2 linked regions of the Sus scrofa genome follow. The main gene of each other region encodes a partner of the protein of the gene in region 2 in a complex. Links are inferred from orthologs where the notes say so. Each region holds a gene or a part of one and is shown on either strand. Other genes may lie near its edges. The genes, in order: GON7 and TPRKB.

Evidence for each region.
Region 1: TPRKB (region 2) and GON7 share a complex: the UniProt entries of both Homo sapiens proteins name them as parts of the EKC/KEOPS complex. The link is inferred for Sus scrofa from reciprocal best matches to the Homo sapiens genes TPRKB and GON7.

Annotation. Positions count from the first base shown.
Region 1 is NC_010449.5:114,584,067-114,596,615, forward strand, and holds GON7 (uncharacterized protein C14orf142 homolog), read right to left. Parts: upstream 6,739-12,549; 5' UTR 6,686-6,738; coding exon 6,478-6,685; intron 2,579-6,477; coding exon 2,484-2,578; 3' UTR 2,240-2,483; downstream 1-2,239. Other genes in the region: putative E3 ubiquitin-protein ligase UBR7, read left to right, coding at 6,940-7,089, 10,288-10,421, 11,160-11,220, 11,963-12,058. UniProt on the Homo sapiens protein: Component of the EKC/KEOPS complex that is required for the formation of a threonylcarbamoyl group on adenosine at position 37 (t(6)A37) in tRNAs that read codons beginning with adenine.
Region 2 is NC_010445.4:69,237,533-69,249,352, reverse strand, and holds TPRKB (EKC/KEOPS complex subunit TPRKB), read right to left. Parts: upstream 11,010-11,820; intron 10,386-11,009; exon of another isoform or gene 10,361-10,385; intron 10,261-10,360; exon of another isoform or gene 10,163-10,260; intron 9,705-10,162; coding exon of another isoform or gene 9,685-9,704; coding exon 9,544-9,684; intron 8,196-9,543; coding exon 8,073-8,195; intron 6,951-8,072; coding exon 6,774-6,950; intron 5,771-6,773; coding exon 5,684-5,770; 3' UTR 5,658-5,683; downstream 1-5,657. UniProt on the Homo sapiens protein: Component of the EKC/KEOPS complex that is required for the formation of a threonylcarbamoyl group on adenosine at position 37 (t(6)A37) in tRNAs that read codons beginning with adenine.

The sequences.
Region 1 (12,549 bases), on a different chromosome or scaffold from region 2:
ATTCCTAGTCCTTCCCACTCTTTTCCCCATCCCCCTAGGCAACCGAAAGTCTGTTCTCCAAAACAGAGTCTGTTCTGTTTTGTAGATAAGTTTATTTGGTTTTTGTTGTTGTTTTTTTAAGGGCTGCACCCCAGGCATATGGAAGTTCCCAGCCTAGGGGTCCCAGTCTACAGCTAGTGGAGCTGTAGCTGCTGGTCTACACCATAGCCACAGTCACACCAGATCCAAGCCACGTCTGCAACCTACACCATGGCTCACAGCAACGCCAAATCCTCAACCTACTGAGCGAGGCCAGGGATTGAACCCCTGACCTCATGGATACTAGTTGGGTTCGTTAACACTGACTGAGCCATCATGGGAACTCTTTTATTTTCTTTTTTGATAGGTTCATTTGTATACAGGTAAGTTTTTTTTTTAAGGACTGTATAAAGATAAAAGATTACTGGGAGTTCCCGTCATGGTTAACGAATCCAACTAGGAATGGCTGCTGGTTCGATCCCTGGCCTCACTCAGTGGGTTAAGGACCCGGCATTGCCGTGAGCTGTGGTGTGGGTTGCAGACGTGGCTCGGATCCTGCGTTGCTGTGGTTCTGGTGCAGGCCGGCAGCTACAGCTCCGATTCGACCCCTAGCCTGGGAACCTCCATATGCCGCAAGAGTGGCCCTAGAAACGGCAAAAAAAAAAAAAGACAAAAAAAAAAAAAAAGATAAAAGATTATTGTAACTGAGCTGAATTTCCCAACATTAGAGACATTATCACAAACTAAACAAACAAGGTACTTTCTGACCACCTAAAAATTTTCTCTGGGAGTTCTTGCTGTGGTGCAGCCAGTTAAGCATCCAGCGTGGCTCGCATCTGTGGCTCGGATTTGATCCCTGGCTTGGGAAATTTCATATGCCATGGATATAGCTAGAAAAAGATAAATAAAAGCTTTCTCTAATTGGTTGGTCTGTTTAGTTTTTTGTTGTTTTTTTTTTTTTCTGATGCCCCATGGCATATGGAGTTCCTAGGCCCTTGCCTGCGAAATTCAGTTTCCTTAATAGCATGTACTTTGTAAGCTATAGATTTCAGAATGTGTAACAGGAAAGTACTACAGTAATCTTTAAAGATTATGTGGAGTACTCTTGTGGTGCAGAGGTTAAGGATCCAGTGTTTGTCACTGCAGTGGCTAGGGTTGCTGCTGTGGTGCAGGTTTGATCCTTGGCCCAGGAACTTCCACATGCCAGGGGGGTGGCCAAAAAAATAAATAAGGGCTATGTGTATAACCCAGTTCCACCAATAAGTTCTGTAACTCAGGGCAAGCACCTAAGATTCAAATCACCTCCAAAATAGATCATATAATCTGTAAGGTTACTTCCAACTCTAAAATTCTATGACCACTTGTGTTTCAACAGGTACATGCTACTTGGTTTCTTTGCAGTTTAATTATCTGAATGAATCAGGAAACATGCACAGTAAATAAAAAATGCCTTAGTCCCACTGCCAAGCAGAAAAAGAATACAGCCCCCCCCACATATATATATTTAAAGGATTTGTTAGTCCTTTGTAAAGCAAAATAAAAATTTGGCAGCAGGATAAGAGGAGATATCTAAGTCATAGCACTGGTTGCTTAAAAGACCTCTATTTGTGTTTACATATTAGCACATCACCGCACAGAAGCCCAGCCCATTTGACTCTCTTGAGGTACAAGGTGAATAGATATATCCACTGAGTAGTATTGTCTCCAGATGTCTGTAAACTGAGTGTGAGTGTGGATTCAAAGTTTCCTTGGGTTTCTCTCAAGGGCTCTCCTTTCTCTTCAGTATTTCTCTCTATTCCCATTTACCTTCTACTGCCATTTTTTTCCCCTCGCTTTTTAGGGCTGCACTCACGGCATATGGAGGTTCCCAGGCCAGGGGTCGAATTGGAGCTACAGTTGCCGGCCTACACCACAGCCAGAGCAGCGTTGGATCCGGGCCACGTCTGCGACCTACACCACAGCTCATGGTAATGCCAGATCCTTAACCCACTAAGCGAGGCCAGGGATCCAACCTGAAACCTCATGGTTCCTAGTCGGATTCGTTTCGGCTGCACCATGATGGGAACTCCTACTGTCATTTTTAAATACCCAGTTCTTGCCACTTGCTCATCATTCTTTGAAATGTTATTGTCCATGAACTGTAACATGTACTTTTTATAAAGAAGCTAAAAGAGGTAGACATGACACAATTCAATAAGAATTCAGTTGCCAACCTAGCATCTTACACCTTATTAAATGTCTATTTTATTTCCATGGTCTGAAACTTACTTCTTAATCAAGAAGAGAGATTCATTTCTAAACATTTATTATATTTTTCTTCATTGGGAACAGAAGAAAGGTTTCTCCTTTGACAAAACGGTTCCAGGGGAACAAAGTGAATGCTTTCCACGTTAGAACATAAGTCTTCCTTAAATGTCAGTATGTGATAAGATAGTGGCAGTCTTTAAATTTCATAAAAGCCACTGTTAAGATGGTGGTTTTGGCCGTTTTGCAGTTGGTCCATCTGAGTTAGTTCTGTTATCAATGTTATTTTCATCTTCTGCATCATCTTCATCATCACCTTTTAAAATAAACATTGTTGTATGACAATATGTTCAGTGGTTGAAATAAATATAGATAGCTAAAACAGTTGATAATGAGACCACTTCACTTTAGGGATTAATAAAACAATGCATATACCAAATAGGAAATATGCGTGCTTAAAGACTTTAGGAATTTTGGCATTTAGAACCTTTCTTTTCTATTACAGTTTTGGTTTTTTGTTTGTTTGTTTTGTTTTTTTTTGTCTTTTTGCCATTTCTTGGGCCGCTCTCGCGGCATATGGAGGTTCCCAGGCTAGGGGTCGAATCAGAGCTGTAGTCGCCGGCCTACACCAGAGCCATAGCAACATGGGATCTGAGCCTCATCTGCAACCTACACCACAGCTCATGGCAATGCCAGATCCTTAACCCACTGAGCAAGGGCAGGGATCAAACCCTCAACCTCATGGTTCCTAGTCGGATTCGTTAACCACTGCACCATGACAGGAACTCCCTATTACAGTTTTTGGAGATGTAATTCATATACCATAAAATTCACTTTTATTTTACAGTTTCTTTTTAGGGCCACAGGTGAAACATATGGAAATTTCCAGGCTAGGGGTCGAATCATAGCTACAGCTGCCGGCCTATGCCACAGCCACAGCCATGCCAGATTGGAGCCATGTCTGCGGCCTACGCCACAGCTTGAGGCAACGCCAAATCCTTAAACCCACTGAGGGAGGCTGGAGATCGAACCCCCATCCTCATGGATATTAGTCGGGTTTGTTACCACTAAGCCACAACGGGAACGCCTAAAATTCACAGCGGGAGTTCCTGCTGTGGTACAGTGAATTAAGGATCCGAATATAGCAGCTCGTGTCGCTGCAGAAGCGCGTACAGTGGGCTACAGATCTGGCATTGCCGTAGCTGCCGTGTGTGTTGTAGCTGCAGCTCAGATTCTATCCCCAGCCTGGGAACTTTCATATGCCACAGGTGGCCCCCCCCCCCCAAAAAAAGTGTAGTTTACTGATTTCGATATTCACTAGGCTGTCCAACCCTCACCACTAATTCTAGAACACTTTTCATCAACCCCAAAGAAATCTTACACCAATTAGCAGTCATTTCCCATTCCCCTTAGCCTTTGGCAGCCACTAACCTACTGTAATCATCTCCCATCTCTTAGATTTGCCTATTCTTTTTTTTTTTTTTTTTTTTTTTTTTTTTTTTTTTTTTTTTTTTTTTTTTTTGTCTTTTGTCTTTTTTGTTGTTGTTGTTTTTGTTGTTGCTATTTCTTGGGCCGCTCCCGCGGCATATGGAGGTTCCCAGGCTAGGGGTTGAATCGGAGCTGTAGCCGCCGGCCTACGCCAGAGCCACAGCAACGCGGGATCCGAGCCGCGTCTGCAACCTACACCACAGCTCACGGCAACGCCGGATCGTTAACCCACTGATCAAGGGCAGGGATCGAACCCGCAACCTCATGGTTCCTAGTCGGATTCGTTAACCACTGCGCCACGACGGGAACTCCAGATTTGCCTATTCTTAACATTTAATGTAAATGAATCGCAAAATACATGCCTTTTTGTGTCTGTCTGCTTTCACTTACCATGTTTTCAAAGGTCATTCATGAAGTGTAACATTTATCAGTACTTCACTCCTTTTTGTTGCTAAATAATATTCCATTGTATGGATATACATATTGTTTCTCCACTCGAGTAGATGGACATTTGTGTGTTTTTTAAAATTTTTCATCAAAGTATAGTTGATTTACAATGTTCTGACAATATCTGCTGTAATTTGTCTTATTTCCACTTTTTAGTTATTATGAATAATGCTGCTTATGAACATTTGTGCATTTGTTTTTTATGGGAACATGTTTCCAGTTCTCTTGGAGAACTAGGGATGGAATTAAGAATCCCTAGAATTGCTGGATCATATGATAACTTTAACTTCAAACGGCTTTCCAAAGAAGGTACACTATTTTGCATTTCCACCAGCAACACATGAGGGCTCTAATTTCTTCATATCCTAGCTAACATCTGTTAGTGTTCTTTCTGATTACAGCCTTCCTAGTGGACATGACATGGAATCTCATTGTGATTTGATTTGCCTTTCCTTGAAAGCCAATGACGTTGAGCGTCTTTTCATGTGCTTATTTGCCATTTGTATATCTTATTTGGAGAACTGTCTATTCAAGTCTTCTGCACATTTGGTAACTGACTGTCTTTTTTCGTCAACATGAGGATTTTTTTTTCCATTGAAGTACACTGTTAGTTCCAAGTGTACCACACAGTGCCCCGATATTTCTAGACGTTACAAAATGATCACTATTTGCCTTTTTAGTGTTGCATTCTACCACTTTTCTTTCATAATTGTTATTTCTGAAAATTTTGCATTGCTAATTAAGATATTATTCATACACTGGGGGTTCCCAGTGCAGTGCAGCAGAAAAGAATCCGACTAATATCCATGAGAATGTGGGTTTGATCCCTGGCCTCACTCAGTGGGTTGGGAAGCCAGTGTTGCTGTGAGCTGTGGTGTGGGTTGCAGATATGGCTCCGATCCGGAGTTGCTGTAGCGTAGGCTGGCAACTGTAGCTCCATTCTGAGCCCTAGTCTGGGAACCTCCCTATGCTGCAGATGTGGCCGTAAAAAAAAAAAAAAGAAAGAAAGAATTCATCCAAAATAAAGATAAACTCCATTTTTTTTTTTTTTTTTTTTTTTTTTTTGGTCTTTTTAGGGCCGCACCTGAGGCATATGGAGGTTCCTGGGCTAGGTGTTGAATTGGAACTATAGCCACTGGCCTACACCACAGCAATACAGCAATGCCAGATCTGAGTCATGTCTGCAACCTACACCATAGCTCAGAGCAACTCCGGATCCTTAACCCACTGAGGAGGCCAGGGATGTAACCTGCGTCCTCATGAATATCAGTCAGATTCCTTTCCACTGAGCCATGATGAGAACTCCCACTTTTTTTTTTTCAATGGCTCTACCTATACCTGTCCTTATTCCAACGATAAAATTTGCAACTGATTAAAGAGGAACTTTTGGAGTCAAGAAACAGGACTTCACTCTCACGGAAACAATCCATTGTCTGAAGTTTGTGTAATATTCTGAATTGGTTCCTTCACATTATTAGTTTAAGAGCCTGTACAGAGGAGTTAAGTCCTGATTCCAATATTTAATGCTTAGGTTCTTAAGCTTAAGGCAGTCAAAATGTATCTACCTATTCAAGACAAGACTTAAAACAAAAAACCCCCCAAAAACTAAACCAGTTAAATTTCCCGTTTCCACTTTCAAACTGCACCTACAAAACCGGGAAAGGAAAGGAGTCCCTGAGAGTAAACACCTGTTTATCTGAAATCTCTTCCAATCTTAGGAACCCGCTCCTATTCTGCGATGGACCGCAGTCTTCCAAACGTAATTTCACAGCTGGGAGAATTCCTTTTCATCCTTCAACACCCAGCTTAAAAGCCAGACATGCCCACTATTAGGTCTTCCTGGGTTCTCTAGGTTCGAATAGTTATAGGAGGATCCTAGGGTCATCTTTCCACTCTTTAATGAGAGCGTTTACTTGTTTAATCACTCATCAAAATTCCGCAACGACAGGAACTAAGCCGCATTCACCCTCATTCTTTCTTCAGAGCTCAGTCCAATGATTGGCACAGAGCAGCAGGGGTTCGGCCCGCTTTTCTTTGGTTTTGTGTGTGCGTGTATGTGTGTGTGTGTGTGTGTGATATAAATGAAAAGAGTCGTGAAAACAGCCCTGCTAGGTGAGCCCAGGTTAGGCCTAGAGTTGGCGGAAGGTGCTAACAATTTTTAGTAGGAATCCTTCTTCCTCCAGTTTTCTCCAGTCTGCTGTTTTACACGGGCTCCCTGAGATTTTTCCCGGGGCGCCCCTGCCCTCCCTCCAGTCGCTCCAGCACCATCCCAGAGCTCACCGTCCAAGGCCTCTTCTGGAGCCGCCGCCACCCGGTCCTGAGCTTCCCCCTGTACCGGGGAACCGAAGAGCTCGGCCACCAGCTCCTTCATCCGAGCCACGCCCGACAGCAAGCCCTGGAAATGGTCGGCATTGCCTGGCGCCTCACAGGGCACTCGTAGCCGCTGCCGCTGCCCGTCCTGCCCGACATACTCGCCCAACAGCTCCATGGCGACCGCTGAGCTTCAAGAACGCGCCACAGGGATACGCCACCCGGAAGCGGAAACCAGCCAAGCGCGGGCGCAGGCGGGAGAAGGAAGAGGAGTGACTTCCGTTTGTCGGAAGTCGCTCCTCCCCCTTCCTTCTCTCGGCGTCTTTGGGATTGGTTCCAGGCACCCAGGCCCCGCCTCCTACGGCCCCGCCCCTCGCGCCCGCTTTTCCCGCCTCCGCCGGGGCTGAGCGGCGGTCCGGGTGACAGTTGAGGATGGCTGGAGCCGAGGGGACCGCGGGGCGGCAGTCGGAGCTGGAGCCCGTGGTATCGTTGGTCGATGTACTTGAGGAGGACGAGGAGCTGGAGAATGAGGCGTGCGCCGTACTAGGCGGCAGCGACTCCGAGAAGTGCTCCTACTCGCAGGTGGGCGCGCGGCCGGGCCTTACCTCCCCCGGCTCCCCTGGACCTTCTCTTCCCGGACTTACCTTCCCTCTTCCCGCCTGCCGAGGCCGGCACCTCCGTGGTAGTCCGGGGTCACTGTTTGTCATAGGCTTCCTCATCCCAGGCTCAGCCGCCCTTTTACCCTTAGTCTCGTGAGCCCCCTTCCTCTGCTTGTGTCCGGCAGGGCCCCCTTCGTCCCTCGGTTTTCCTCCGACCCCCCAGGATCTCTAGGCTTTGACCCTGGAGCAGCCTTTCCTTCCTCTCCCGTCTCTTCTCGGTGCCCCGGGTGTTTTTCACGAAACCATCCTCGTGTCCTCTCAAATCCAGACATCTTTGTCCCTAATTTTCCCATCCTTAGTATTTATTAGGAACCAGGTGGGAGTCAAAGCAGAGATAAAGGAGAGATCTCTGGATCTGAAAATCTCCCCATGTGGGCTGGGCACTTGGACAGCTGGTCCTCTGCAATTTAGTTTGACAAGTGCTATCTGGTTTTTTGGCGAGAGGAAGCAAGTACCATGTCTCTGTGCAGTCTGCTACCCAGGAGGATAGACCGGAACCCGAACAGCTGGTGGCTCTGGCGAAGGGGTGGGGGTAGGGGAGGAGAGCGAGCACTTGGAAGATGTTGTGAACAAGGCTTTGAGGGGGTGTGATGTAGTGTTGGGTGACTCATCCTATATTCTAGGTACAAAAATGGAGAAAGGTGGGTAGAAGAAAACTAATAAGAGGTGAGAATTGGTAGGAGGAAGGTTCCTTGGCGGGGGGCGTGTGGAGTGGAACGTTGGAGGGTGAGGAGAGAGACTTAGGGTCATTGTGTGGTGTGGACTGAGATCATAATACCAGTTGTCATCATTGACCAGTTGAATTTACACTGCAGAATGGTTAGGGTTTTTTTTTTCTTCTTTTTCTTTTGCCATTTCTTGGGCCGCTCCCGCAGCATATGGAGGTTCCCAAGCTAGGGGTCGAATCGGAGCTGCAGCTGCTGACCTACACCAGAGCCACAGCAACGTGGGATCCTTAACCCACTGAGCAAGGCCAGGAATGGAACCCGTAACCTCATGGTTCCTAGTCGGATTCGTTAACCACTGAGCCATGACAGGAACTACTGGGTAGGGCTTTTTTTTAATACACCTGGTATCAGATGTATTTAATGTTGGCTGGTATTCTAAAACCTTTGGTCACCCCCGAAACAACTTCTTCTGTGCTTTCGTTCGTTTGTTTTTTGTGTTTTAGGGAGGGACCGCTGGAGGTTCCCAGGCTAGGAGTACAATCCGAGCTACAGCTGCTGGCCTATGCCATAGCCACAGGAACGCGGGATCCGGGTCACATCTGTGACCTACACCACAGCTCATGGCAAAGCCGGATCCTTAAACCACTGAGCAAGGCCAGGGATCAAACCCACAACCTCATTGGGTTCGTTGCTGCTGCGCCACTGTGGGAACTCCTGTGCTTTCCTTTTTTTTTTTTTTTTTTTTTAAGTCTGTGCAGAAGTTATTTTTTGAAATATAGTTAGGTTTTAAAAACAGACTTCCTTAAAAAACACTTTTTTGTTTGTTTTTTTAGGGCCACACCCACGGCATATGGAGGTTCCCAGGCTAGGGGTCTAATTGGAGTTGTAGCTGCCGGCCTACACCACAGCCACAGTAACATCATATCTGATCCTTTTCTGCAAACTACACCGCAGCTTATGGCACCACTGGATCCTTAACCCACTGAACAAGGCCAAGGATTGAACGTTCAACCTCAGGGTTCCTAGTCAGATTCAGTAACCACTGTGCCACCACAGGAACTCCTTAAAAAATATTTTTTTAATTGTAGTAGAGCATGTGGAAAATTGCACAAACCTTGTATAAATTTTGGGAAAGCAAAAACAAAAACACATGCACATACGTACTATCCAGATCAGGAAGTAGAGTATTCCTGGCGTCCCGGAAGCTTCCATGAGTCCCTCTCCTTCCTCCCCAGAAGACGGTGACCGTTATCAGGATTTCTAAAAGTTGTACTTGTTTTTCTCTCAGGTTTTTATTTTGTAACATTTTAAGTCTACAGATAAGTTGAAAAAATAATACTGTGAACACTTGTGTACCTTTATATATATTCACTTTTCAACATTTTCCCACATTTGTTTACCTTTCCCCCTTTCATTGTAAATTCTTTTTCCTTTTTTTTCTTTCTGAACCACTTGAAAATAAGTTGCAGACCATGACACTACACTTCTGAATACTTCAGCATACATCCTAAGAATCAAAGGGATTTTTTTTTTTTTTTTTTTGTATTTTTTGCCTTTTCTAGGGCCACTTCCGCAGCACATGGAGGTTCCCAGGCTAGGGGTCTAATTGGAGCTGTAGCCACCGGCTTACACCAGAGCCACAGCAACACCACATCCAAGCCGCGTCTGCGGACCTACACTACAGCTCATGGCAATGCCGGATCCTTAACCCACTGAGCAAGGCCAGGAATCCAACCTGCAACCTCATGGCTCCTAGTCAGATTTGTTAACCACTGAGCCATGATGAGAACTCCAAAGGGATTCTTTAATGCATTGATTTTCTCTTTGGTGGAATCACAAGCATTTTCCAAAATTAAAGTATGGTTATTACTTATGTAAACTGACACACATTCTCCTACATTTTCTTTTTTTTCTTTCTAGGGCCACACTTGCGGCATATGGAAGTTCCCAGGCTGGGGGTCAAATCGGAGCTGCAGCTGCCAGCCTGCGTCACAGCCATAGAGACACGGGATTGGAGCCCCATCTGCAACCTACACTGCATCTTGAAGCAATGCTGGATCCTTAACCCACCAAGTGAGGCCAGGGATCAGACCTGCATCCTCATGAATACTAGTTGGGTTCTTAACCCACTGAGCCACAACGGGAACTCCCATTATCATACATTTTCATGTATTAAAGTGATTAAGCAGACTGGCTAATTCACAGCTGACTAAAAACCTTAAAGTTCTATCGCTTTAAGAAGAAATTATACAGAAACAAACACTAGTATATGAAATGTGCAACAGTGTTTGGTACTCTGTTGTATAAGCTTTTTTTTAGTCCCAGTGATTTTTACAGGAAGATCTTGACCACAGATAATCTGACTGCAAAAATTTCTCAGATCATAGTATGGGTATTAGGCATATTTCATCAATTTATTCTCTCTCTTTTTCCATTTTGGGGCTGTCTTTTAGGGCTCAGTAAAGAGACAAGCACTGTATGCCTGTAGTACTTGCACCCCAGAGGGAGAAGAACCAGCAGGAATTTGCCTAGCTTGCAGTTATGAATGTCATGGAAGTCATAAACTATTTGAGCTATACACAAAAAGGTAAAACAGAGATTGGTGCTGAATACTTTTTTTTTATTTTTATTAAAGTTTTTTTTTATTATAGTTGATTTAGTGTTCTGTTGATTTAGTTTCTGCTGTATGGTAAAGTGACCCAGTTAAACATATATATATATGTATATATACCCACTTTCTTTTTCTCACATTATTCTCCATCATGTTCCATCCCAAGTGATTGGATATAGTTCCTTGTGCTGTACAGCAGGACCTCACTGCTTATCCACTCCCAGTGCAATAGTTTGCATCTACTAACCCCAAGCTCCCAGTCGATCCCACTCCCCCTGCCCCGAATACTTTTTAAATGTTTAGACGCTTTCACAGTTGCATATTTTTTCTTAATCTTGTTTTTTCATCAAAGTGGTTGTGCACTGGCAAAATTTAATGTAACTTTTATGTACTATAGTTGGAGAAAATAGTTATTCCAAAGGACCTTTTAAAATAGAATGGTGCAAACTCAAACTATTCATATTCATGCTATTCTGCCATTATGCATGTGTGTGTGATACAGATATTTGTCTATGTGTGTTAATTTCTAGAATTATTAAATCTTTCATTGTCATGTGTTTGGAGAAATTCTGGATTGGATACGTGAACAATAACCAAGGCCACTAATTAGATCTTAGAAGCAAGTTGAAAGGGAAGAGGGTGTGATATGAATTTAAAAAGTAAGTCATTAGATTTAAAAGAAAAACAACTGAAATTGTGTCTTCCTTGTTTCAGAAATTTTCGTTGTGATTGTGGAAACAGCAAGTTTAAAAATTTGGAATGCAAATTATTTCCTGTAAGTAAGCACTGAAAACTATAAATGCATGAAAAGTAGCTGAGACTGATATTTGTCCAAGTGGATAAAAAACAAATATTTTCCAAAGAGGGAATTCTTATGCTTATCCTTTGCAAATGGGCAAATCACTATTAGGCTGTATCTCATTTTTTACTTCTTGGAAAACTAAGTAACGTGTAAAGAGCCTGCAGCATAGATTCTAATTAACATGGAAGGTTTTGGGGGGAATGTTCTAAAGCATGATTAGGCTTATGCTTTAAGGCTTTTAAATCAAAGGGTATGACTTTAAAAACTGAATAAATAAAACTTACTAATAATGAGCACAGGTTATGTGCACTCAGGAGTTTTTTTTAATTTCTTAATAAAAACTGTGCTTATACAATAACTTTCACTGAAGTAATAGAAGTAAAAGAAAATATCACAGCTGGGGATTTTAAGAAATATTTTGAAATTCTCAGCCAATGTCAATTTATTTAGGTTGATAATTAATATTTATGATTTGTTTTTCCCCGATTGCTACAAAGAAAATATAGAAAATAAATTTTATTTTTTTCCCTGTATCCTGGAAAATGCATCTCTTTAATAGGAATGAATTTTTTTCTCTTTGTCTTTTGAAAGTTAAAGACCAGTTTGTGGGGGGAGAGATATTAAAGCACACATTTACTAAATGAATAAATTTTATGATGCTTGAAATTCTAGTTAAAATTAGAACGTATTATATGTTGAAATTAATATCTTTCAGGATAAAGCAAAGATAAATTCTAGCAATAAGTACAATGACAACTTTTTTGGATTGTACTGCATTTGCAAGAGACCTTATCCTGATCCTGAGGATGAGGTAAGAGGCCTGGAAGTTAGCTCTGGAAGCGTGTCATCTTTAGCCTTCACTTCTCAGCCTCTTGTCATATCTGGGCCTCTAGCTCTTCAGGGGGGGATTTGGGGATTGTGAAGAATTTTAGATTTACCCCTTCTTATGAGTCGGGGCTGGAGCTATAACTTGTTCAGATACCAGCCCTTCTCATTCTTCATCATGAGAATGAACTGTTGGACAGGACTTTCTCAAGACCAGAACTTTTGCCCTTCCTCTCTCTCTTTGCCTGCCTGTCTGCTCCATTCCCCCGAACACATTCTAAAAAATGACCTTCAACTTCTCGCATTCCCTGGGAGGAAGGAAAAAATAAGATGTACAAATTGATTCCTCTTAAAATTTTTAATTATAAGTATACACAAAACTAAAAAAAGAATTGTTCAGGACTTCCCATTGTGGTGCAGTAGAAACGAATCTGACAAGGAACCATGAGGTTTCGGGTTCGACCCCTGGCCTTGCTC
Region 2 (11,820 bases):
TCCTCACAGCCATGAACAATGATGATGAGGATCTGTTGACATGAAAAAAAAATTGTCAAAATATAGCACCAAGCTATTAAAGCTTATAAGACAGTGTTTTCATTTATTTTTTTGAAAAATAGAAAAAAATAATTTATACACACAAGCATGCAGAGAGGAAAGTGTGAACGGTTCCACCACACTTTGGTGGCCATTCCTTCTGGACAGAGGAAGCAGGCAGTTCTCTGGGTAGGAGATGACCTCTGGAAGTTTAGCACATTCCAGGCTCTTGGCCCCACTTTCAGATGATGGAACTGCTTGAGAATCTACCTGTTTTAGCCTCTGCCAACTCTTGAATCTAAACAGACCCAGCTGAGACTGTGAACTCCTAAAGGTAAGGCAGATGTGTTAATACTTTCATTCTATTATCTTTAACCATGTAAATGCGTCTAATTCAGTACATTCACAATGTCGTATAATTACCACCTCTATCTAGTTGCTAAGCGTTTTCATCTCCCCAGAAGGAGACCCCTTAGCCAGGAGGCAATCACTCCCTATTTCCAGTTCTCCTGAGCCCATGGCAACCACTAACCTGCTTTCTGTCTCTATGGATTTACCTATTCTGGATGTTTCATTTAAATGGAATCATGCAATATGTGATTTCACATTCAGCTTCTTTCACTTTTGTTTTCAAGGTACATCTCCATCCTCGTGTTTTATCAGTACCTCGTTGCTTTTTATGGCTACATAATATTCCATTGTACAGAGAGACAGCCTTTGTGTAGGCAGTTATCCACTGATGGACATTGGAGTTCTAACCACCTTTTGGTTACTGTGAATAGTGCTGCTGTGAACATTCTTTGCAGGTGGTTGTTTCAGGACCTGTGTTCAGTTCTTTTGTATATACCTAGGAGTAGAACTGCTGGGTCATATGGTAACTCTATTTTAACATTTTGAGAAATTGCCAGACTGTTGTCCATGTTTTACTTTCCCACCAGCAGTAAGTCTTATTTTACTATCAGCACTTTGCCTGGTGTACTGAGAGAAAGAGATAGCTGTTATTCCTGAGAAATTCGATGCCTGGAACTGTAAGAAAATGTTTTTCCTACGCTGTACCATTTTGGGGCTTTGGGGGGGGGGCAGGGGGGGTTGGCCTCACCCGTGGCATGCAGAAGTTTCCAAGCCAAGTATCAACCCCACACCACAGCAGCAACCCGAGTCACTGCAGTGACGCCGAATCCTTCATGGCTGCACAAGAGAACTCCCCTCTGCTGTACTATTTGATATTCATTGTAACCTAAGAGCTTAGGTTGATATTCATGTTTCCACTTTACAATGGGAAACAGAGGCCCACAAACCTGAGATATCCTACCTATGCCACAGAACGTGGCAGGTTGGGGCTCAAACGGCAGTTCAGACTCGAAGGCCTGAACATTTTGCTTTTTCAGTACCACATGCTGATCCCAATTGGACAAGTGTTTGGTGAATTGTGTATGCCAGGAGAATCAGCTCTGCCTGGTAGGATCAGGATTCACTTCCAGGCCTCATCACACCTCTATCACCAGTGACCAGGCCATACTTGACCAAATTCCAATCTGTGACTAAGACTCTGTTCTTTCTTCAAGATCCAGTTCAGTGTTACCTTTTCCATCAAGATTTCTGACCCTTACCAACCAGATGGATCTTGTATCTGTTCCCTTCTCTGAAGCCTTGGCACTTCCTCATTAAGCACTTACATTGCTGTTAATTTATTACTTGCTTAACAAGTAACTGTTCACTTATTACAGTTTAACAGTTACCATGACCTTTGAGAGTTCCTATGGTGGCTCATCTGTAACAAACCGACTAAAATCCATGAGGAGGCGGGTTTGATCCCTGGCCTCACTCAGTGGGTCAGGGATCTGGTGTGGTCGTGAGCTGTGGTGTAGGTCACAGACCCAGCTTGGATCCTGCATTGCTACAGCTGTGGTGTAGGCCGGCAGTTACAGTTCCTATTCAGCCCCCAACTTGGGAACTTTCATATGCCGCAGGTATGGCCCTAAAAAGAAAAGAAAAGTTACAAGTACCCTGATAAATTATTTTACTTTTCTATTGCCCATAGGAACCCGATTATGATATATAATTATACTTTTTGGAATCATTTTTATTCCCAGAGTTGGGATTTGAGAACATCATGTCGCTGAAATTCCGTGCTTGCAAATTATGAAGTATACCTGTGTAACAGCCCAGCCCTGCCTAGAAATGGGCCATTGAGATGGAAGGTAGCCAGTCATGTGGCAATGTGTTTTGGAAGTCTCAGAGGAGGAAGAAAACGTCCTGAAAAGAACAGCATCTCCCCTGACCTCTCATCAGTCAACCCAACCTCAGGTCAGTGCCCCAGACTTCTACTGGGAACTCAAAACCAGAATGGAGATATGGAGATAACTGGCACAGAGGATGAGGAAAACAGTCACAACGGGCAAATTTGGTAAATGCAAACTTTGCTCATTCTGAGAACAATCAACATAGATGCTTTACTCAGTGTTGTTGTGCTGATGGCTTAACAGTCAGCAAACACAGCCAGGAACAGAGAGGCAGCCTCAACCCTGGCACAGGTTCCAGAGCAGAGGAACTGACTACTGGGGTTTGCAGACAAGTAGCTGTGGGAAGGTCATTAATGACAAAAGCAAAAAAATGACAGCAGGAGGCCTGAGACGCCTGTGAGCCACTGGGCTCCTTCTAAAAAGAAGGCGCTGGGGAGGTCCTGTTGTGGCTCAGTGCCAACAAACCTGACTAGTATTGGTGAGGATGCAGGTTCGATCCCTGGCCTCGCGCAGTGGGTTAAGGATCCGGCATTTGCTGTGAGCTGTGGTGTAGGTCGAAGACGAGGCTCAGATCCCGCATTGCAGTGGCTGTGGTTTAGGCCAGCAACTGCAGCTGTCGACTCCTAGCCCAGGAACTTCTATATGCAGCAGGTACGGCCCTAAAAAGAAAAGACAACCCCCAAAAAACATGTTTGAGAGTAATGGCATGGGAGAAGGCTTTGTGATGGAGTCGTTAGGATCACAGGATCTGGGGTCACTCCAATCTGAGTTTTAATCTTGACCACCAGCACTTTGAGTCTTAGAGCAGCTTTGACTCTGTAAGCTTCAGGGGGAAAGATGCTTTCATAATGGAGAGGTCTAGGGGGACCACCATAACGAAGTGACCAAACTAACACCACTGATGGGGCCAACTGATATCACGTGCCTCCTGATGACATGCAAGCAGAAGGACACAAAATCTATCTACTGTCATTCCCCTGGATATATATATATAATATATATATAATGTGTTTTTTTTCTTTTTCTTTTTTTCATTTCTGGCCACCCCACAGCACATGGCGCTCCAGGCCAGGGATCAGATTACCCATTGTGCTTGGGGGTGGGGATTGAAACTGTGTCTCAGTGCTCCCAAGACACTGCCAATCCCATTGCACCACAGCCCGAGCTCCTCATTCCCAAAAATATTTAAACTGACTCAAATCGTGAACGCATTCTGAAATTCTGAAAGACATAGGGTACTCTTCAAAAAATGTCAACTTTTTTTTTTGGCACCCACAAGCATATGGAGGTTCTCAGCCTAGCGGTCAAATAGGAGCTGTAGCCTCCAGCCTGCATCACAGCCACAGCAACACCAGATCCAAACCAGGTCTGTGACCTACACCACAGCTCATGGCAACGCCAGATCCTTAACCCATTGAGTGAGGCCAAGGATTGAACCTGTGTCTTCATGGATACTAATCAGATTCGTTTCAGCTGAACCAGGACAGGAACTCCTCGACTTTTTTTTTCTGAAAAAGATTTTTCTAAAGGAGACTAAGAGACATGACAACTAAACACAATGTTTCAGAAAACAGGTGTGTATGCCTGTGCCTTACTCATGCAGGAAGAGAGCAAGCAAAGGTAGCAAGATGTTAACAAATGGTGAATTCACATGAAAGGCATACAGATGGTGACTGTACTATCCAATTGTTCTGTAGGTTTGAATTATTATTATTCTTTTGTCTTTTAGGGCTGCACCCGCAGCATATGGAGGTTCCGGCTAGGGGTCAAATCGGAGCTGTAGCTGCTGTCCTGTGTCACAGCCACAGCCACAGCCACTCGGGATCTGAGCAGCATCTGCGAACTACACCAAAGTTCATGGCAATGCCGGATCCTTAACCCGCTGAGCAAGGCCAGGGATCGAACCCACAACCTCATGGTTACTAATCGGATTCGTTTCCACTGTGCCACGACGGGAACTTCTGAAATTTTTTGAAATAACTTCAGAGACTAAATTTACTTCCTTGCTGTGTTAAAATCTCGGGGTTGTAGAGAGAACCATATGAGGCAGTGCATATAAAATGCTTAGCGCCGTATTCACTGCATTCAAAGCAATGCACATTTATACTTTACTATTTATGACCACAGTGGAAATATCTGTCCCCTAAGGATTTCTACCTCTCCCTCTCCAGCACAGGGGAGGACCCCATTCCGCCACCCTTTATGACGCTGGCATGGCTATGTGACTGGACAGTGAAATATGAATCTAAGCACCTGTCATTTCCATGTGGGAGCTTTAAGAGTCACTGTGTAATTCACAGCATGCCTTCTAGCCAGGCTGTGACCCACAGAGCACATATTGACATAAAGCCTTCAGCAGCCTGGATTCCCGAGTCACTGCAGTGAACCTTCCTACTGAGTCACACTGCAGAGTGAGCCAGACACGAATTTTTGTGGTACGAAGGCAGTGAGCTTTAGGGACCCTAATTACAGCCTAACCTACCCCCCACCCCCGAGTCCAGAAACCATTGCCCTCAGGTCAAATCTTGCCCATTGCTTATTTTTGTAAATAAAGTTTTACTGGAAGATTTTTTTTCTTGCTGAATGTGGAAGTTTTCAGGCCATGGATAGAACCCACACCACAGCAAAAACAGCTCCTGGATCCTTAACCCACTGAGCCACTGGGGAACTCCCTGGAATACTTTTTTTTTTTTTTTTTTTTACACTGTCTGTGTATGCTTCTGCACTAGAACAGCAAGAGCCGAGTAGAAGCAACAAACACCAGGTGGCCTTTAAAACCGAAAATATTTACTATCTGGTCTTTCACAGAAAGTTTGTTGATCCCTATCCTATTCTACCTTGACTGATACAATCATATTTTAAGACAAAATGAGAAAAAAAAATCCAAAACCACTTATAAAACATGATTTTTAGCTGTAAAACTCGGGCAAGTTACCTGTTATTTCTACAAGCTTTTAGTTGCCTTTGTGTAAAATGCGGGTATATCTACCTCATGTGACACTCTTAGAATTAAACATATTCTTGCATGTAAAAACCTGGAACCAGGAGGCTTGGAAGGGCAATGCTGCAGTAGCCAGAAATAAGTGCAGGAATATGGGCTGCTGGATAGAAAGTCATAGAAAGACGAGAACCTAGTACACTGTACACATCCGATAAATGTCTGCAATTTTTCTAATTATATAAAAATAAAACCTATTTGAACAGAAATAGAAAGCAAGACAATAGCATAATACTAACTGGTTATTTTTTAAAATATTAGGGATAAGACCAGGAGTGTTTTTTTTTTCCCCTTTGCTGCCATTCTGCTTTAAAATTTTCTATGATGAACAAAATAGATTTTTATAATCTGGAAAAAAACCAGTTTTTTATAAATGCTGAAAATTTTTAATATATTTATTATTTTACAGAACATCTTTTGTTGACATTCTACAAATGATACCATCCAATAATGTCCCAATTCTTTCTTCTTGTGAAGACAGTTTATATATCTGTAAAAATAAAAGACAGATTATGACATGCTAATATGTTCATGCACGATTTATTTTTATTATACAAACATGTATAAGTGAAATTATCACTCAGTTATTGGAATGATGGCATGAAATCACAACGTAGTTAAAGTATGAAAAGTAGATGGAAATTTATCACTGTCAAAAGCACTCTTTTTTAGTTATGGTGATGACTCTAAACAAATAAATTTTTATGTATTTATTGTATTCGTCTTTTTAGGGCTGCACCTGCAGCATATGGAGACTCCCAGGCTAGGGGCTGAATTGGAGCTGCAGCTGCCTGCCTACGCCACAGCCACAGCAATGCTGGATCCTTAACCTACTGAGCGAGGCCAGGGATGGAATCTGTGTCCTCATGGATACTAGTCAGATTCGTTTCTGCTGAGCCATGACAGGAACTCATATATTAATTTTAAAAGCACACATCTAGATAGTAACTTCATACTATAATTATTTTATATTTCAAATGTACTACGTAAGTTTGATAGTTAAAGTTATCTTTTTTGAAGAATGATCTTATCAAGTAAGTTTCTAACTGTATCTTATGTAATTCTGCATCTTCCAATTCTTTGCACCTGTAATTATTTTTCAAGTAATTTTTTTTTTTTTTTTTTTTTTTGTCTTTTTGCCTTTTCTAGGGCCACACTCGTGGCATATGGAGGTTCCCAGGCTAGGGGTTGAATCGGAGCTGTAGCCGCCAGCTGACACCAGAGCCACAGCAACACCGGATCCGAGCCGTGTCTGCGACCTACACCCACGGCAATGCCGGATCCTTAACCCTCTGAGCACTGCCAGGGATCAGATCTGCAACCTCATGGTTCCTAGTCGATTTGTTAACCACTGAGCCATGAGAGGAATGCCAAGTAATACTTTATTACATTAACTTTCTTAAAAGTTAAAAAAAACATAGAAGCACTGGTGAAAAATAAGCAAACATTATTCACATCTATCATGCTCTTTCCAGAAATTCAGATTTACAAACCTTTTTGACTTCTGTAATATCTGTTATTTCAGTGAGTTCTTTCAAAGGAACTTGATGACCTTCTACCTGAGATATGATGTCTTCTTGATTTATTTGTTTTTCTCCCTCTTCAATATAAGCAATTAGAACTGAAGTGTCATTTGCCGAAATACCAAATTTTTTCAAGGCCTCTGAAATCTAAAGGTGGGGCGGGGGGGAGAAAATCAGTAGATTCATCTGAAACACCTCCCCCTTGCCACTCTTTCCAGGTCAGATTCTTATTTTTTAGATCCTAATGGTTCTGCCTACAGTTGTTCTCTTCCACAGCCCCTTCCTGCACAAACCATCCCTCCCACCCCCCAACCCCAAGTGACCCTCTAGCCACTTAGGACTGTTTGGAGAGCCTGTCATCTCATGCTTCTCTGTCTATGCTCATACTCTGTCCTCTGCCTGGAGAGCCCTCGTATATCAATTATCTTAGGGCATTTGAATTTTGTGTCTAGTTCATCTGCCTTGTTCAGGAACATTTTTGTTTTTTTTCTGCCCCTAGAACTGACACAGGGACAACTCAATAATTGTTTATGAATTGCTTAGTCTCTTGAGTTATTTCACTGATCTCAAACAATATTTATGGAGTGATTTTTCCCCCAAGTACTGGGGAGTTCTCCTACCATGCATTTTATAAGCTTCCTAAACATCTGTATTTTAAACCTTGCCACAGTTTTCCTAAGTTTTCTCTTGATGTCAGCACTTGCTTGTTTTAACAGTAGTAGGAACACTAAAACTTCTTCATCAGCAAAATTACAGTGTTGTTTTTTTAATGGCTCCAGGTGGAATGTTTTTAACTCAATAACTTTGATTACTAGCAGTATCTGAAACCACAAACTGTTACATGCAGTGGGTGTGTGAGAGAGCATGTGTTAAGGGCTGTTTTAGGTACCAGGCAGGCTTCTGGTATATGGAAGAGACATGGATGCTATCCTCAAAGAGTTTACAGGCAGAATGAAAGATACGCATGACAACACTCAGGCATCCATGGCTAATCATTCAGATATCATTTAGTGATCTTCCTGACTCTACGTGGTAAGAAGGACAAATTAAAACTATCCTCTTAATTTAGCTAAATTTTTGTTTACACACATGTGAAGCGTCTCCAAAGCTTATTTGCCTAGTAAGAGAGCAGTGCTAAACCCCAACTCTGTCCAGAGCTGTCTTCACTATTGTTTTGGTTTAGTATTAACAGGCTCCAACCCAACACCAAGTAACACACAGGCTATCATGACAAGGTCAACAATTATAAAGTAAATAAATATTAATTACATTATTATTTGGGGAAAGATTGAAAATAATTTCCGTAGATAGAGTTCTTGTCTTCATTTTCCCCAGTTTGTAGAGGTGAACTGCTTTGTTTGCTGCCACAAGTATCTGAAATGGATCGACAATCTACCAAAGAGAACAAAAAATATTATACACAGAGAATCTGGAGTACGCTGAAGACATGTGCCCCATAGCGTGCTATCTCCAGGGTCAGTGTTTTACTTCATCCCAGTTCCTATGGACTACATTTTTAAATTTTTTCATAATCTCAAGGCCTGAGTGTTCAGTAAAAAAAAAAAAAGAAAAAAGAATTTTAAAACTGCAAGCAAGAGTTCCCGTCGTGGCTCAGTGGTTAACAAATCCGACTAGGAACCATGAGGTTGTGGGTTCAATCCCTGGCCTTGCTCAGTGGGTTAAGGATCCGGTGTTGCCATGAGCTGTGGCGTAGGCTGGCGGCTACAGCTCCGATTAGACCCCTAGCCTGGGAAGCTCCACATGCCGCGGGTGCGGCCCTAAAAGGACAAAAGGAAGGAAAAAAAAAAAAAAGTAAAACTGTAAGCAACTTAGATAAATAGTAAAAAGCTGGGTTTTTTTGTTTTTTCATTTTAGGGCCACACCTGAGACATATGGAGGTTCCCAGGCTGGTGGTGGAATCTGAGCTGCAGTTGCCGGCCTACACCCCAGCCACCGCAATGCAGGGCATGAGCGGCATCTACAACTTACGCTGCAGCTTGAGACAACACCGGATCCTTAACCCACTGAGCCACCACAGGAATTCCAATAGTAAAAAGTTTTAAAACGACATTTACCGAGGGGTATTATTATGGGAAAAACCATATGGTCAACATTTTGCCTTCGTTTTCCACAGCTGTCAGTGATATCCATGTTATATTCACATGTAATGGATGAGGAGACCACGGCAAAGAACAGGTCTGAATCCCAGCTGTCCTCAGTTACCACGAGGGAACCGGAGCAAATGCCTTAGCATTTCATCTAGAGGTGCAGACCATCCTAGGACGTCACGGATGGGTTGTCGTGAAGACTGAGTCAGCTGTGTGTGTAAACAACTTGCAACAATGCCAGGAGCCAAATACACCTTTATATAAAGGTCAGCTACCACTTGCTCAAAGCCATAATAAATGGCATATCTGGGATTTGAGTCACAGTGATTCTACAGTGTGTTCCCTTAACCACTATGCAGTGCCTCCTTCCCAGACTTTCTCTTTCAGAGGAGAAGACGATCCCAGACAGCTGCGATCACATCAGGGCTGGACCGCCTTTGACAGCTCCTAGGGCGGGGTGCTCTGGCTTCTAGTCACTGCTAATTCAAGGTCGGCCAAATCTGATTCCACTCCACAGCTTGGACAAGGCCTTTTTACCTGAAGATAACAGGTTTGGGCTGACCTGTAACAGCAAGAAATATTTCATATTCTTAAACTCCCTGCAGAGTGCACTCCTTCCCACAAGTACTTACCACTGTAGGGTTGATTAATGAGCCGTCAATGCCACCTTCCATGGCCTTTTTTCTCAAGGCTCCAGCATTTTTCACATCTTTAAATAACAGAAGGGTCACCCTGTACTCAGGAAACAGGTCCAGTTGCTCTGTTAACTGCATTTCATAGATAAGACAGGATTCTGTTGCACAAGACCAAAAGACCAAAAGTTAACACCGTAGGTCACTAACAAAAAAATATCTTTACTTAACGAGATATTTTTTTGCTTTTTAGGGCTGTGCCTGTGGCATATGGAAGTTGCCCAGCTGGGGGTTGAAATCAGAGCTGCAGCTGCTTGCATATACCCCAGCCACAGCCACAACCACAGCCAGGCCAGATCTGAGCCGTATCTGTGACCTGCACCACGGCTCACGGCAACACCAGATACTTAACCCACTGAGCAAGGCCAGGGATCCAACCCGAGTCCTCATGGATACTAGTCACGTTTGTTACCGCCAAGCCACACTGGGAACTCCCTAACAAAGTAACTTTAATAAGAACATATAAAAGTGTTAAAATAGAAAAATCTATCCCGAAAACACATCTGGCATTCTCACAGTATACTGTCTTCCTAAACCTGCTGTTTCTAGCTTCCTTTACCATTCCTGGCGAAGGATCAAGGTTGCCACCTGATCCCCTGCTTGTGCAGTAAGTCCGGCTCTGATCCGTGGATGAGATGCCGTTTCCCCAATAGACAACTAGGTGCAGATTACCAAAAATGTTTTAGATCACAGGTTACTTTTAGCATTAATGAAACCTCACTCCAACTTCTTAGCCTTTTTAGTTTTCTTATCTCACCATTTGATTTATGTTTTAGCAGCACCTAGACACAAATACGAAAGAAGAAAATAATCTTACAGAGGAAAAGTATGACATGACTCAGAGAACTCATTTCACACATGGGGATTTAAGCAGGGAGGGCACAATGCTTTAATAATACTGGCCCTTTATAGACATAAATTGAACAAGAAAAGGACGGGGTATATACAAAGACATAAGAGAAACATGACAAATAACTACAAAGACATATCCTTGCACAGAAAAACAAAGCATTGCAAAAATTTGATCTTTAAAACAATTTCAATCAGTCCTAATGAGATATTTGGGTGAGGCAATTTGATAGGTTCATTTTATCCTTTTACCTAGGAGGTTCCATTTACAGCATTTTTCTCAAAGAATAAACTGGCAATCTGAAGGTTTATGTAACAAGAGGTCCTTATCATTATCCTAACAGTAAAAGCTGAAAAGAACTAGTAACAGGATTTGTTTTCACTAAACAACCACTAAAAACTGTAGTCTTGAAGAGTACTTAAGGATGTATAAAAACAGCAATAAATAACACTAAAACATTTGATGTGGAAATCAAAACATAAAATTGTGGGTTTTTTAAAAAAGGTACACATACACACACACACAAAATTGAAAGAAAAATACAACGAAAAATTACCTTTGACCTGCTGGAATTTCATCTGACTTTTTTCTTATTGTAACAAAAGAAAAAAAGAACATTTGTGAATAACGTCCTGGCACACAGCAGTTCAGTCATAATCAAGGTCCAATGGAAAAAAAAATACAGAAAGATAAAATGTACACCCAATTATAAAAGAAGATGCACCCAGAAAACAAAAACACGAAGTACACCAAAATATGGCCATCTTGGGCAGTAGAATTGAAGGCAATTTCTAAGGTCTCCTATAAATATTTTTCTATGTGCTGAATTTTCTACAATGAGTACTCAAAATATATAATGAGTACATACAACCAGAGAGAAAAAAAATGTGGTTTTTGTTTTTACATGAGGGGAAAAAGGACCTCTAGCAAACGTCAGAATAGTTTGCTTTTCTTTTACATAATTCATTCAGTCCAGAAACTTCGAGTCACTGCTGGATACTGACCTCTCACTCAAATCCCATATCTAATCCAAAAGTCTTGTCAATTTAAATTTTATTTTTCACCCTGCCCACAGCACGTGGAAGTTCCAGGGGCCAGTAATCAAACCCGGGCCACAGCAGGGACCCAAACCGCTGCAGTGACAACGCCAGATCCTTAACCCACTGCACCACAGGAGAACTCCTTGTCAATTTTTAATATCTTGACGGATACAATTCTCTCCATACCCACTGCCACCACAGTGGGCCACCAACTCACATCCACAGTTTGGCCTCCTAGAAGTGCTCAGCTCACAGTTCCTGCCCTCCTATCATGCAGCCGCCACCTGGGAGTCAAAACCATCTTTTCACAAACAAGAACAAAATAAT